2 linked regions of the Oryctolagus cuniculus genome follow. The protein of the gene in region 2 interacts with the protein of the main gene of each other region in a pairwise test. Links are inferred from orthologs where the notes say so. Each region holds a gene or a part of one and is shown on either strand. Other genes may lie near its edges.

Region 1 (6,502 bases), on a different chromosome or scaffold from region 2:
TAAATATCTATTTACTCAAACCTTTAATATTTCTTTATGATAAAACAGTCTAAAATACTATCTTTTACCTTGTTATAAAGAAATATCTAGTATATTAACATCTATAGTCACCCTACCACAGAATTCTTACTCTTGTCTAGGCAGGACTTAGTACCTGTTAATCAACCTTCCCTCTTTCCCCCTTTCCTCCCCAGCCTCTGGTAACCACCATTATTCTCTTAACTTCTGCAAGATCACCATTTTACAGACTCCACAAATTAGTGAGATCATGTGATACTTCTCTTTCTGTGCTTGATTTATTTATTATTTCACTTGGCACAGTGACCTTCAGTTCCATCCGTGTTGTGGCAATGGACAGGATTTTTATCCCTTTTATGGCCAAGTAGTATTCCATTGTGTGTATGTACCACAATTTCTTTACCCATTCATCAGTGAGTGAATACTTAGGTTGTTTCCATTTCTTGACTATTGTGAATAGTGCTGCAGTAAACATGGGACTGCACATGTCTCTTCAACAGACAAAATTCACTTCCCTTGGGTATATAACTAGGAGTGAGAATACTGTCTCTCATGGTAATTCTATTGTTTTCCACACCGGCTGTACTAATTTACATTCCCACCAACAACGTGTAAGGGTTCCCTTTTCCCCACATCCTCTCCAACAATTGTTTTTTTTTTTATTGTAGCCAAACTGGAGTGAGGTGATATCTCATAGTAATTTTGATTCATGTATGTGTTGGCCATTTGTTTGTCTTCCTTTGAGAATTTTTGAATATGTTTTAGAGCATCAAATTTACTTAAACATTTGTGAGAGGGACTTACTTAAGCAATGTAAGTAATTTAACCAAAAACATTTTCCAATTAAAACAAACTCTGGGGTGGGCATTGTGGTGCACAGATTAAGCCTCAGCTTTTGATGCCAGCATCTCATATCACAGTGCCAATTCGAGTCGTGCCCATTCTGCTTCTGATCCAGCTACCTGCTAGTGCACCAGGGAAGGCAACGAATGATGGCCCAGTTACTTGGGTCCCTGCCACCCATGTGCGAGACCCAGATGGAGTTCCTGTTGCTAGCTTAATCCTGGCCCATCCCCAGCTGTTGCAAGCATTTGGGGAGTGAACCAGTAGATGGAAGATCTGTCTCTCCCTGTCTCTTTCTGTCACTCTGCCTTTCAAATAAATATATTTATGTCTATTATATAAATAAATATATTTTATATAAATAAATGATATACTGTAAAGTTAAAAACATGTGTCACTTGAATTTTTATATGAAATATGTGACTTCAAAGAGATCTCATTTTTTATAGGTTACTTTGAGATATACAACTGTTTTGTTTCCTCCTCCTCCTGTTTCTGTGAGCCAACTCTTGTGTGCTGTTTAAACATTTCCATAGAGGCACTTGAAAGACTTGAGTGAACACTAGTTTAAACATTTCAGCGTTTCCTGGATGATAGTTTCATCAATTACTTGTTTTCTTTATCTCTTGTTGTTCTTATTTTCTTTCCTTTGATTCCGTGCCCTTAAACCCATGCTAATATATTTTCCTGCTAAACTCTTAAAGCCACTCATTTATCAATAATATGCATGTATTTTTTGAAGATTTATTGATTTGAAAGAGTGACAGGGAGAAATACACACACAAACACACATCTTCCATTCACTGGTTGATTCCCCAAATGGCCAGAAAGCCCCAAACCAGCTGCCTTGGTCTCCATCTAGGTTTCTCACATGTGGGTGCCAGGGTCCAAGTATTTGGACCATCTTCCACTGCTTTCCCAGGCACTTTATCAGGGAGTGGGATTGAAAGTGGAGCCTCTGTGAGTTGAAACAAGGTTCCAATACGGAATGCCAGCATTGCAGTGGCATCCTAACCTGCTGCACCACAATACTAGCCCCAGTGTGAATCTATTTTATTTATTGTTAGTAGTAGAATTTTCTCCCCAAAAGATCTCAAAGAGAAAGTTACAATGAAATTAACTTGAAACTTAAAGTGTATTTTATTTAAGATGTACAAATTGTGTTATCGAAGCCAATATTGTTTCAGTCACAAACATTTTTTTGAATACCCCCTATGTGCTCAGGTGCTAAGTCTGGCCCTGGGAATACAGAGCTGTTTAAGGACCTAATTTTTTAGTAGGACTCCAGATCAATGGTAATTAATTAGTTTAAATGTTAATTAATAGTAATTAGCAGGGCTATCCATGGTGAGATTCTCATCCCCATGGTGTTTTGTATTGTTTAGAGCAAAATTGGAATGGCCCTATTAGGTAACCTGAAAGGAAAATGAGTGCTGTTATTTTCTCATTAAGGAAAAGCCATCACAAGAGAGGCAGAGATTTGCCCACTGGTCATCAGTTTGGTATTGGTAACGCCAGAGTTAAAACCCGGTTCCCCTGATCCTTTAGGTCACTGCCCTCCTACTCTGTCATGTTGTTGGACTTTGTAGAATAATTTGAGAGCCACATTACTTTTATCAACTCCTCTGAACTATTCTTTTTCTGCAATTATCATTAGGGAAGATTTGATAATATTCAGCTTTTCTGTATTAATTAGTATCTTCATAAAGTTTACTTTATAGTACATGAAAGTTGTATGTGTGTGCATGTGTGTTATTAAGCTAGATTCTAAAAAATGAATGCTTTATTTTCCAAGACCTATCACTTGGATATGAAATAACAGCAGCAAAAATGATGATAAGAACAATAATAGTTAACTTTATTATGTGCTTGCTCTGTACCAGTCACTGTGTTTGAGTGCTTGGCTTTCATCACCTCATTTCATCCTCACAACAACCTGATAAGATGATGCCATTATCCCCACTTTAAGAATTAGGAAAATAGGAGTGTGAAGAGGGTAAGTTACTGGCTATAGATCACACAACTGGTAGGTATAGAGCTGGCTTTAAAACCTAAGATTGTAACATTAAAGCCAGTGATCTTAATCAGGTGTCAGAAGTGGATGCAAGTAAGCACTAGGGAAGATTATTTGACTTTTTCTTTCTAGAGCATCTTTATTCACTTTCAGTGGCAGGAGAGCTTGCTGTTTTATAGCTAAGCAATTACATAATATGAATGAGATTGTAATTGTTACACATGAGAATTGTGTTTTTAAATTAGTCCCATTCTATGTTTCTAGCATCTGAGGCCTAGTTTAAAACCCAGCTGTTTCAAAGCCACTCATTAACCAATTAATACCACTGTCTTGCAGTCTTTCCACCCCAAAATCCTTTTATGGCATACTTTATCACCCAGGAATAGTCTTTCTTCTATGACAGATATTAGAGTTCTTTTGTTTGTGTCTCTGCTAGAGTAAGTCCTTTACAACAGAGGCCATAGCATTTTTACTTTGATATGACCCATGGTATCTCACAGAATGAGATAATGCATATAGAAATGCTTTGAAAACTCTTAAAACTCTTTTAAGATTTATTTTATTTATTTTAAAGAGTTACAGAGAGGGAGGGAGAGACAAAGAAAGAAAGGTCTTCCATCTGCTGGTTCACTCCCCAAATGGCCGCAATGGCCAGAGGTAGGCTGGGCCAAAACCAGAGCCAGGAACTCCACCTAGGTCTCCTGCATGGGTGGTGGGGACCCATACATGTGGGATATCTTTTGCTGCTTTCCCAGGCACATTAGCAGGGCACTGCATCAGAAGTGGAGCAGCTGGGACCTGACCAGCATACATATAGAATGCTGGCATTGCAGGCAGCGGTTTAACCTACTCTGCCAGCACATAAAAACTCTTAAGCAGTTGGAAACAGTGCATAACAAATATTAGTGGGTGCATATTTTCTAATATATCTTATTGGGTAATACGTATGGTTTATGCTTTGAATAAATTTTTCTAAGAGTTTGCAGCTGGTGCTGTGGCGTAGCGGGTAAAGCCACCGCCTGCAGTGCCGGTGTCCCATGTGGGCACCGGTTCAAGTCCTGGCTGCTCCACTTCCAATCCGGCTCTCTGTTATGTCCTGGGAAAACAGTGGGAGGTGGCCTAAGTCCTTAGGTCCCTGCACCCATGTCGGAAGACCCAGAAGAGGCTACTGGATCCTGGCTTCGGATCAGCGCAGCTCTGGCCATCGTGGCCATTTGAGGAGTGAACCAGTGGATGGAAGACCTCTCTCTCTCTACCTCTCCTTCTCTCTCTGTGTAACTCTGCCTTTCAAATAAATAAATACATCTTAAAAAAAAGAGTTTGTGTAAAATTTGTTCTCTTGGCCTAATTTAGCTGTCCTCTGTCCTTTCAGTGTGTAGATGGAGTGTTAGGAGGTGAGGACTATAATCAGAACAACATCAATCAGTGGACTGCAAGCATAGTAGAACAATCCTTAACACACTTGGTTAAGTTGGGAAAAGCTTATAAATACATTGGTAAGTATCAGTTTTCCTCTACTCATCTTTGTCTTTGTGATTCTCTTTGAGTTTTGAAAACACATGACTTTTGACATAATCATCCAAAGATAATATAAATAATATCTAAAAGATATACATCATTCATTATGCAAAACTAGTTTAATCTCCTTTTCCTAAGTAGCATGAGCCTGAGCATTTGCATGGTTTTCTCTTGCCATTGAGACCCCTTCAGCTCTTATTGTCTTCCTTTCAGTAGCCCCACGCCTCTTTGTATGACTGTGAAATTCCACACCTACTGTCAAGTGGAATGTTTTCTGTGTTTGAATTTTGCCCACAGCACAAAGCACAGAATTGGACCCAGAATGTTCCTGCAAGGCAATCACCAATGGTTATAGCAATGATGTACAAACCAGCCAGATCCAGTAGGTTTAAGATTGTGATGGTAGATAATCAAAATAAGAGACTTTTCTTTTTTAAGAAAGTATTATATGGGGCCGGCACTGTGGCGCAGTGGGTTAAAGCCCTGGCCTGAAGCACCAGTATCCCATATGGGTGCCAGTTCTAGTCCCGGCTGCTCCTCTTCTGATCCAGCTCTCTGCTATGGCCTGGGAAGGCAATAGAAGATGGTCCAAGTCCTTGGGCCCCTGCACCCACATGGGAGACCTGCAAGAAGCTCCTGGCTCCTGGCTTCTAGATTCTGATCAGCGTAGCTCGGGCCGTTGTAGCCAATTGGGGAGTGAACCATCGGATGGAAGACCTCTCTCTCTGTAACTCTAATCTTCAAATAAATAAATAAATCTTTTTTAAAAAAGAAAGTTTATTATTTATTTGAAAGAGTAAAAAAGAGAGAGAAACAAAGAGATCTTCCATCCACTAGTTCACTCCCCAAGTGGCTGCAATGGCCAGGGCTGGGACAGGTCAAAGACAGGAGCGTGGAATTCCATCCATGTTTTCTATGTGGGTGGCAGGGACCCAAGCACTTGAGCCATCTTCTGCTTTCCCAGGTACATCAGCAGGGAGCTGGATCAGAAGTGTAGTAATCAGAATTTGAACCAGTGCATCTCAACAGTTTTAATTTTTTCAATCTACTTGCCGAATTCTTTGTTTTCCATTGTTTTTTCCACTTTTAGAGCTGTGAACTCAAGCAGTTCATTGTTGGCTCACTTTCCCTTTTTTGTAAGTGTCCTCACTTTGACTTTATTTGTAGTGACCTGTGCAGTGGTCCAGAGGAGTGCATATGGCTTTCATACCGCCAGTTCATGCTTTTGGGATACTACTTCTGATGGTAAGAGACTTAAGGCTGATTCACACAAAATTGAATTTCTAGTTAATTGAACAGGGCACTTTTTATCAAATACTTATTTATATCTGATTAAATTCTATAAAGACTTTGTCAACAGAATTGCTTTGCACTTACAATAAGTATGCCTTCTGACCAGTATGAAATGTGAAGACTTAAAAGGTATAAGGAAATAAGATATTAAAGCCTATATATACAATATCTATAGAATATAAATATATATTTTATGCACACACACTCCATGGTGATTTGCATGTTTTCCTGATATTTCAAAGTTTTTTTTGTGTGTTTTCAGGAACCTGTACTGTAAGATGGGAGAATCGAACCATGAACTGCATTGTCAACGTTTTTGCCATTGCAATTGTCCTGTAACTGACTAACAATGTTGGGTTAAAAAACCATTAACTTAAGAATTTGTCAGTGTATCCTTTCTGAAATGCATAATAGTTACTTACAAATATGCTAGGTGACAAGTGTGCAATAAGCTTCAGCTATCAACAAAAACTGAATATTATAAGCAAGCAATCTCATAGTATGTTGGCAGATTATATTGTATTCTATACAGTATCATTTAGATAGGGAAAATTGAATGTTGGTGAAAACTAATGTTCAAAAACTAAATGCAGAACTATGGCATGACTTGAACATCTAATCTTATATTTATACCAGCTTTTCACTAACATCACTATGTACTTAAGGAGATGGAAGAATCCATTCAGATAATGAAATTTCCTTTCATTTAGAGAACTTAACAGGGATAACTGTATGAACAAAAAAGCTACAGAGATAAATGTGGAGAAAATAATATCAATTTATTAATACGTCTTTTTTATTTCTTCCCCTTAGTCA
Region 2 (7,083 bases):
TCCAAAGAGTTTCCATAGGAGTAAATGTGTATCTCATGCAGGAATAAGTAAAATATCTCCAGCTCAGGGTCAATGAATATTTTCTGCATTTGATAAAACAAGTGATGTCAAAACTCAGAAGACAGAAGTACCTGGTCCAACTTTATTACCTCATCAAACCTACAACTCAATAAAAATATAGCCTTTCAATAAGTAACTCATGATAAAATACATAGGAACAAGTCCTCTAATCAATTATGTCATCTATTATACATTTGTTTGCCATTAACATTACCAATTCTGACAAATTACTAGCAGTTCAGACTAGCAAAATGTTCAGAAATAAAACTTCATAAGTCTAAACTATGCTAAAAGTATCATCTTATGAGCTAATAGATTTTTACATAAAATTATCTTTTTTAGAAAAGGATTATTTATGTATTTTATTTTAAAGGCAGAGCAACAGAGAGACACGGAAATACAAAAAAAGATATTCCATCCGCTGGTTCACTCCCCAAATGGCTGTAAGTCAGCAACAGCTCAGGCCAAAGCCAGGAGCCAAGAACTCTATCCTGGTCTCCCACATGGGTACAGGGGCTTCAGTACTTGGGCCAACTTCCATTGCCTTCTGAGGCACATTAGCAGGAGCTGGACTGGAAGTAGAGCAGCCAGACTCAAACTGCCACTCTGATATGCGATGCTAGCGTTGCAGGTAGTGGCTTAATCCACTGTGCCACAACACTAGTTCTGCAACACAGATTACAAGGGGTGGAGGAGGCCTTCAAAAAGCTTATGAATAAAGTGTATTGTGAAATAGTTATATATTGATTTCAAAAATTATTATACCAAAATAAACTTACCTTCTTTTTTTCTACAAATTTTTTGAAATACCCTCATATAACAAATACATTCTTAGATTAAATATGTAAATTGAAATTCTTAATCAAATCTTAGAAATGGAATCTATATGCAACATTTTCATTTAGTTAAAAATAATCACATTTTGGCCAGCGCCGCAGCTCACTAGGCTAATCCTCCGCCTTGCGGGGCTGGCACACCGGGTTCTAGTCCCGTTCGGGGCACCAGATTCTGTCCCGGTTGCCCCTCTTCCAGGCCAGCTCTCTGCTGTGGCCAGGGAGTGCAGTGGAGGATGGCCCAAGTGCTTGGGCCCTGCACCCCATGGGAGACCAGGAGAAGTACCTGGCTCCTGCCATCGGATCAGCGTGGTGCGCTGGCCACAGCGCGCTGGCCACGGCAGCCATTGGAGGGTGAACCAACGGCAAAGGAAGACCTTTCTATCTTGTCTCTCTCTCTCACTGTCCACTCTGCCTGTCAAAAAAAAAAAAAAAAAAAAAAAAAAAACAACACCACATTTTAATTTACCAGTTGTGTAATTTTCACATATTAGCCTGTTTCTTTAAAGTAGGAGCTGATTATAATACATCTACAGTCGTAAGTGCTAGATTTTTTCTATTTTGGAATTATTACATAAAAATATGTACTAGGAATAAACTCTACTTATATTGTTATTCTTTAAAAAAATTAAACATACTTCTTTCTTTTTCCTTTCTTCTTCTTTTCTCTTCTTCTCTTCTCTGATTTGTGCCAACCGCTGTTTCTTTCGTTCCAATTCAGCCTTTAGTTCACTTTTGTCCGACATGTTTGTGACCTTAACAAGCATACAATGAATTCCAATAATCAATACATTGGCAAAAGTAGCACACTTAAAAAAAAAATCAGTTCTTAGCAAAGATAACCATCCCGAGAGGCCCTGCAGTTCAATACTATATAAAGAGAGCATGTAATCTCCACTTTAAAAATATAAGCATAGGGGCTGACATTATGGTGTAACGGGTTAAGCTGCTGCTGCAATGCAGGCATACCATATGGGCACTGGTTCAAGTCATGGCTGCTACACTTTGGATCCAACTCCCTGCTAACGCGCCTGGGGAAACAGCAGAAGACAGGCCAAGTGCTTTGGTCCCCTGGTCAATGTGGGAGACCAAGATAATGTTCCACTGGCTCCTGGATTTGGCTTGGCCCAACCCTGGTCATTGTAGCCATTCTGGGAGTGAACCAAGAAAGCATGTAATAAGTTCTTTATTGTTTACATGCCCCCAATTAAAAAAGAATTTACTTATTTGAAAGGCACAGTTGCAGAGAGAGGGAGAGACAGTGAGATCTTCCATCTGTTGGTTCACTCCCCAGGCACAGCGGCTGGGGTTGGGCCAGTCTGAAGCCAGGAGCCTAGAACTCCACTGGGGTCTCCCATGTGGGTGCAGGGCCTCAAGAACTTGGGCCATCTTCTGCTGCTTTCCCAAGAGCATTAGCAGGGAGCTGGACCAGAAGTAGAGCAGCTGGGACTCAAATAGGCCCTCATACGGGAAACATTGCAGGCGGTAGCTTAACCCACTGCACCACAACAACATCCTCCCCACCACAAGTTTTTGAAAACTTTGTTACTTTAAAAAAAATTAAATTTATTTATTTTCATTTTATTTGAAAGGTGCAGGGAATGGGAGGGGGGGCATGGATCTTCCATTTATCAATTTATTCCTCAAATGCCCCCAACAGCCAGGGTTGGGCAAGGCTAAAGCCAGGAGTGGGAAACCATATCTAGTTCTGTCATGTGGGTGGCAAGAACCCAAATACTCAAACCATCACTTGGTGCCTCCCAGGATGTGCATTAGCAGGAAACAAATCCAGACATTCCTATACAAGATGCAGGTATCCCAAATGGGGTCCCAACCACTGTGCCAGATGCGCACTCCCACATGCCCAGATTTTCTATGACAATATATTCCTACTACAGCAATGAAGATAAAGGTAAAGACGGGCTCTTAAGATATGCGCTGGCATTAAGAACTCTCAAGTAATGTGACACAGATCCAAACTACTACCGAGTGTTGCACTCATTCCTAGAAACCTGCTAAAAACCATGAGGACAAAGAAAATTTCTGCAAATTTGCAAATTCTAGAAGGGCCATGGTAGCAGTAATATTAAAGACAGCATAGTGCAAAGGGCACCATCGTTATCAGTCCGATCAACTTCTTTGTTTCTCCACTCACACCTTACCTTACACCTGTTAGGACACTTTTTATACAATTACTTGTGAACACACTTGAAATGTTCCAGATTAGACTGTAATCTACTTGAAATCAAGGCCTGTGTTTTAGTCATTTTTGTCTCCACAGTCTACAGCACAGTGACCTTAACATTGCATTGATACTGGCTAAATGAATAATGAATAAGTTAGATAACATTACAAACAGAGGTTTAAAAACAACTACATGAACATTACTTTATCCTCAGTTTTAGGAAAAAGTAATGATTCGAGGGTTTTTAAAAATTGAAAAAGTATCATAGGGATAAAGCAAAAGGTAACTTATCATCTTCATATTTTGACTTAGAATGATCAACGTCTCTGCGTGTACAACTGAAGTATCAAATTATGCTTCAGACCAAGAAAACTGGGAAAACCAACTTCTGGAAAACTGTATGTAGGAGGAATCTCCAAAAAAGCTCAATTGTTACATCAAAATAAAGAGGGTTAGAGAGGGGGAAAAACCCTATCTTCCAATAAACACATAAAGGAAATTTCTCTTATAAAATAGTCCAGAGACACTGACATCACAAGTCGATAAGTTCCAAGCGTACAAAAACAGTGACAAGCTGCCTCCACCGACCCTTAAAGAGACTCACTCTATCCACCGGGACAAACGCCGCCCTTGCTACCCAGCTGCGCACGGTAGAAGAGAACTTCCACACCTAACTCTGCAGGTGCAGCTAGCTAACCGCGTTATTTTTGCTCAGTGTCAACCGTAAAATGGAGGTACTACCGCTAAGGGACATTAGAGTAAGCATATTTTTAGGCAAAGCCCAACAACACAGGTTGACCGGCTCTTACTGCAGCTGACCCGTCCGTCTCTCTCTCATCCTGAGGCCAGAGCCTCCATGACGACGGATCGGTTCCTTTTCTGAAAACTCCGGGGAAGAGAAGTCTGCAGAGTTCGGCGCTACAAGCCCCGCGTAGGGACCTTCCCAACACACACGAGGTGCGGGGAAACGCTAGCAATGACCTATATTTGTAAAACGGAGCAAGCAGAAAAGGAATCACTTTTTCCCCCACCCCGGGGTCACCGCCAAGAAGGCGCGGTCCAGGTCAGGGAATCCGGAGGAAGGGGCCGGCGGACGCTGGCCGAGCCTCTAGGCTCCACAGGCCGCCTCTTGAGGGTCAAGAAGGGAAGGGAGTGGACTCCTCTCCGCCGGCTGCCCTGAGTCACGGCACCCGGTTCCCCCCGCCTCCTCTCCCCAGAGCCGGAGGGCGCTGTCAGCAGGACCTGCCTGGCCGCCCTTCGAGTCCCGACGCGGGACAGGCAGGAGGGCCTTCGAGGCAGAGCAGCCAACCCACCTGTGAGGTGGCGGGACGGGGAAAGAGTCTTCCCGTCGGCAACTTCCCGGTAACGTCCCTCGCCTAAGCCCTCAACGACAATCGCCGCCGCCACCAGCTCAGCGGCTTCCCGAAGCACACAAAGAGGGATGGGCGGCGGCTGCTACGGCGAGAGCTTAGGGACACAAGGCTCCGCCAGACCAAGCTTGCGCTCAGGAACACAGGGTGGGGCCCTGCGACGCAGAGTAGCTCCCCCATGACTTACCCTGTTGCAAAGCAGATAAGACAGCGCAGCTCGCCCTGAGGCCCGAAGCCTTTTCGCTTTGCCAACCGCTGGAAAATCACGCCTAGTATCTTGGGGCTGAGTCCGTACGCTCCGCCTCGTGGTTCAAATTGACACCACCTGGGAGAACTACAAGACCCAGCACCGATGGAAACCTGCGTGCGGGGAGCAGTGCATTTTGGGAGTTGTGGTCGCTGGTAGTCGCAAGGTCTTCTGGGAGACGTAGTATTGCGAGCCTTTGGGGCGTCTACTTGGACGGCTTCTTCCTGGAATATGCCAGTGAGAGGGTATGTGCTCTTCATCTTTTGGCGTATTCCTGTCGTTGTCCGGGGCGCCTGACGTTCAGTGTGTTGGATCTTCAGATGTTTGACTCAACAGTGGCAGAATTTTAAGGAGGGTTATTTTCCAGTGGATAACACTGCACTTTAGGATATATGAAGAATATAGGTTTTTTTCCCCCAGTATTTACTTACTTATTTGAAAAGCAGAGTTACCGAGAGCGAAACACACACACACACACACACACACACACACACACAGAGAGAGAGAGAGAGAGAATATCTTCTACTGGTTCACTCCCCAAACGGCCACAACAGCCAATGCTGAGCCAGACTGAAGCCAGGAACCCGGAGCAGTTCTCCCACATGGGTGCAGGGCCTCAAGCACTTGGGCCATCTTCTACTGCCTTCCCGGGTACATTAGCAGGAAGTTGGATTGCAAGTGGAGCAACCAGAACTGGAACAGGTACCATATGGGATGCTGGCATCACAGATGGAGGCTTAATATGCTTTGCCAAAATGCCAGCCCCAAAAGTATGTAGTTTTAGAAAACAAAGCCTTACTGAGGATTCATATGACATCTTGGGCAGAATCTAAATAAAGATATGTTAATCATAATAAATAATTCTATTTTGTTGCAGTGTGGGAGCATTTTGGTTTTCTCTGAAAGAATTTTTGGTGAGAAAGCATTTGATACTGTTGAAATCTAAATAAAGCAAGAATAGTTTCCACAGTTGTTAGATATTTTTAATATACAAATAAAGCAAAAATTGTCAAAACATGAAGTTTCCAGAAATGTCTGGGTTGATATACATGTTTTGAAAATAAGAATTTAGGGGCCAGCGCTGTGGCATGGTGGGCTAAGCCTCCACCTGCCTGGCACTGGCATCCCATATGGGCCATGGTTTGGATCCCAGCTGCTCTTCTTCCGATCCAGCTCTCTGCTATGGCCTGGGAAAAGCAGTAGAAGATGGTCCAAGTCTTTGGGCCCCTGCACCCACGTGAAAGACCCAAAAGAAGCTCTGGGCTCCTGGCTTCGGATTGGTCCAGCTCTGGCCGTTGTGGCCATCTGGGAAGTGAACCAGCAGGCAGAAGACCTTTCTCTCTGTCTCTCCCTCTCTCTGTCTGTAACTCTACCTCTCAAATAAATAACTAAATCTTAAAAAAAAAATAATTTAAAACAATGGCAAGATTTAAAGCTAACACCAAAGCAGTATCTTTTCCATGTTCTAGAAAATTGATAGAAAACACATTGCCCAAGTTTAGGATTCACCTTTAGTGTTCAAATTCTAAGTCCTTGGGCTGTGGTCTTCTCTGTATCTTTGTCTGCCTATAAAAAAAACAAATGTAACAGAAATGAATTGAAAAAGAAAACCCTTTAGATTCTGAGACGTTCCCCCATAACCTAAAATTTCCAAGAGCTTTATTGCAATACTGTTTTCTTGCCTCTTTCCTAATATTTAGTTTCCATTTATTCATTTGAAAAAATGCTTACTGATTACAGCATTGTGCCAGGAATGGTGCTCTGTGTTACATAGTGAGCTAAAATGTACATGTCTCTTCTCAAGGGTAAAAGGGCACTTGGTTCAACTAAGTACTATGATGAAGGTAAACAAGGAAGTAATGGGAATACTCTGGAAATGAAAACTTTCTGTATGAGTTAATTCTACAGCTACATTTTGGTTTTTGTTGTTTTTTGAGAGGCAGAAAGGGAAGGAGGGAGGGAGGGAGGGAGGGAGAGAGGGGGAGGGGGGGGAGAGAGAGAGAGAGAGAGAGAGAGAGAGAGAAACACTCCTATCTACTGGATCATGATTTACTCCCCAACTGCATATGACAGCAGCCAGGGCTAGGCTAGGGCCAAAGCCAGGAGACAGGATCTTAACCCAGGTCCCAGGAACTCACCCACTTGAGCCAACACCTTCTACCCTAAAGAGTACACATTAGCAGGAAGCTAGAATTGGGAGCAGAGGCAGGACTCAAATGCAGATACTCTGATATGAGATCTGGACATTTTAATCACTTGGCCAAATGCCCTCCTCCAGAGTTAAGTTTTTAAATTTGCACTTATTTTTATTTGAAAGGCAGAGAGACAGACAGAGACATACAGGCAGAGATCTTCCCCATGCTCATTTACTCCCCAAATGCTTGCAGC

The links.
Region 1: the proteins of DYNC1I2 (region 2) and DYNLT3 interact in binary tests that used the Homo sapiens proteins (3 or more experiments, as listed by UniProt). The two-hybrid records come from large-scale screens. The link is inferred for Oryctolagus cuniculus from reciprocal best matches to the Homo sapiens genes DYNC1I2 and DYNLT3.

The regions. Positions count from the first base shown.
Region 1 is NC_091453.1:23,860,273-23,866,774, reverse strand, and holds part of DYNLT3 (dynein light chain Tctex-type 3), read left to right. Parts: intron 1-4,247; coding exon 4,248-4,371; intron 4,372-5,560; coding exon 5,561-5,638; intron 5,639-5,948; coding exon 5,949-6,025; 3' UTR 6,026-6,502. UniProt on the Homo sapiens protein: Acts as one of several non-catalytic accessory components of the cytoplasmic dynein 1 complex that are thought to be involved in linking dynein to cargos and to adapter proteins that regulate dynein function.
Region 2 is NC_091434.1:69,425,714-69,432,796, forward strand, and holds the start of DYNC1I2 (cytoplasmic dynein 1 intermediate chain 2), read right to left. Parts: upstream 4,847-7,083; 5' UTR 4,636-4,846; intron 4,595-4,635; exon of another isoform or gene 4,392-4,594; intron 1,649-4,391; 5' UTR 1,640-1,648; coding exon 1,532-1,639; intron 1-1,531. UniProt on the Homo sapiens protein: Acts as one of several non-catalytic accessory components of the cytoplasmic dynein 1 complex that are thought to be involved in linking dynein to cargos and to adapter proteins that regulate dynein function.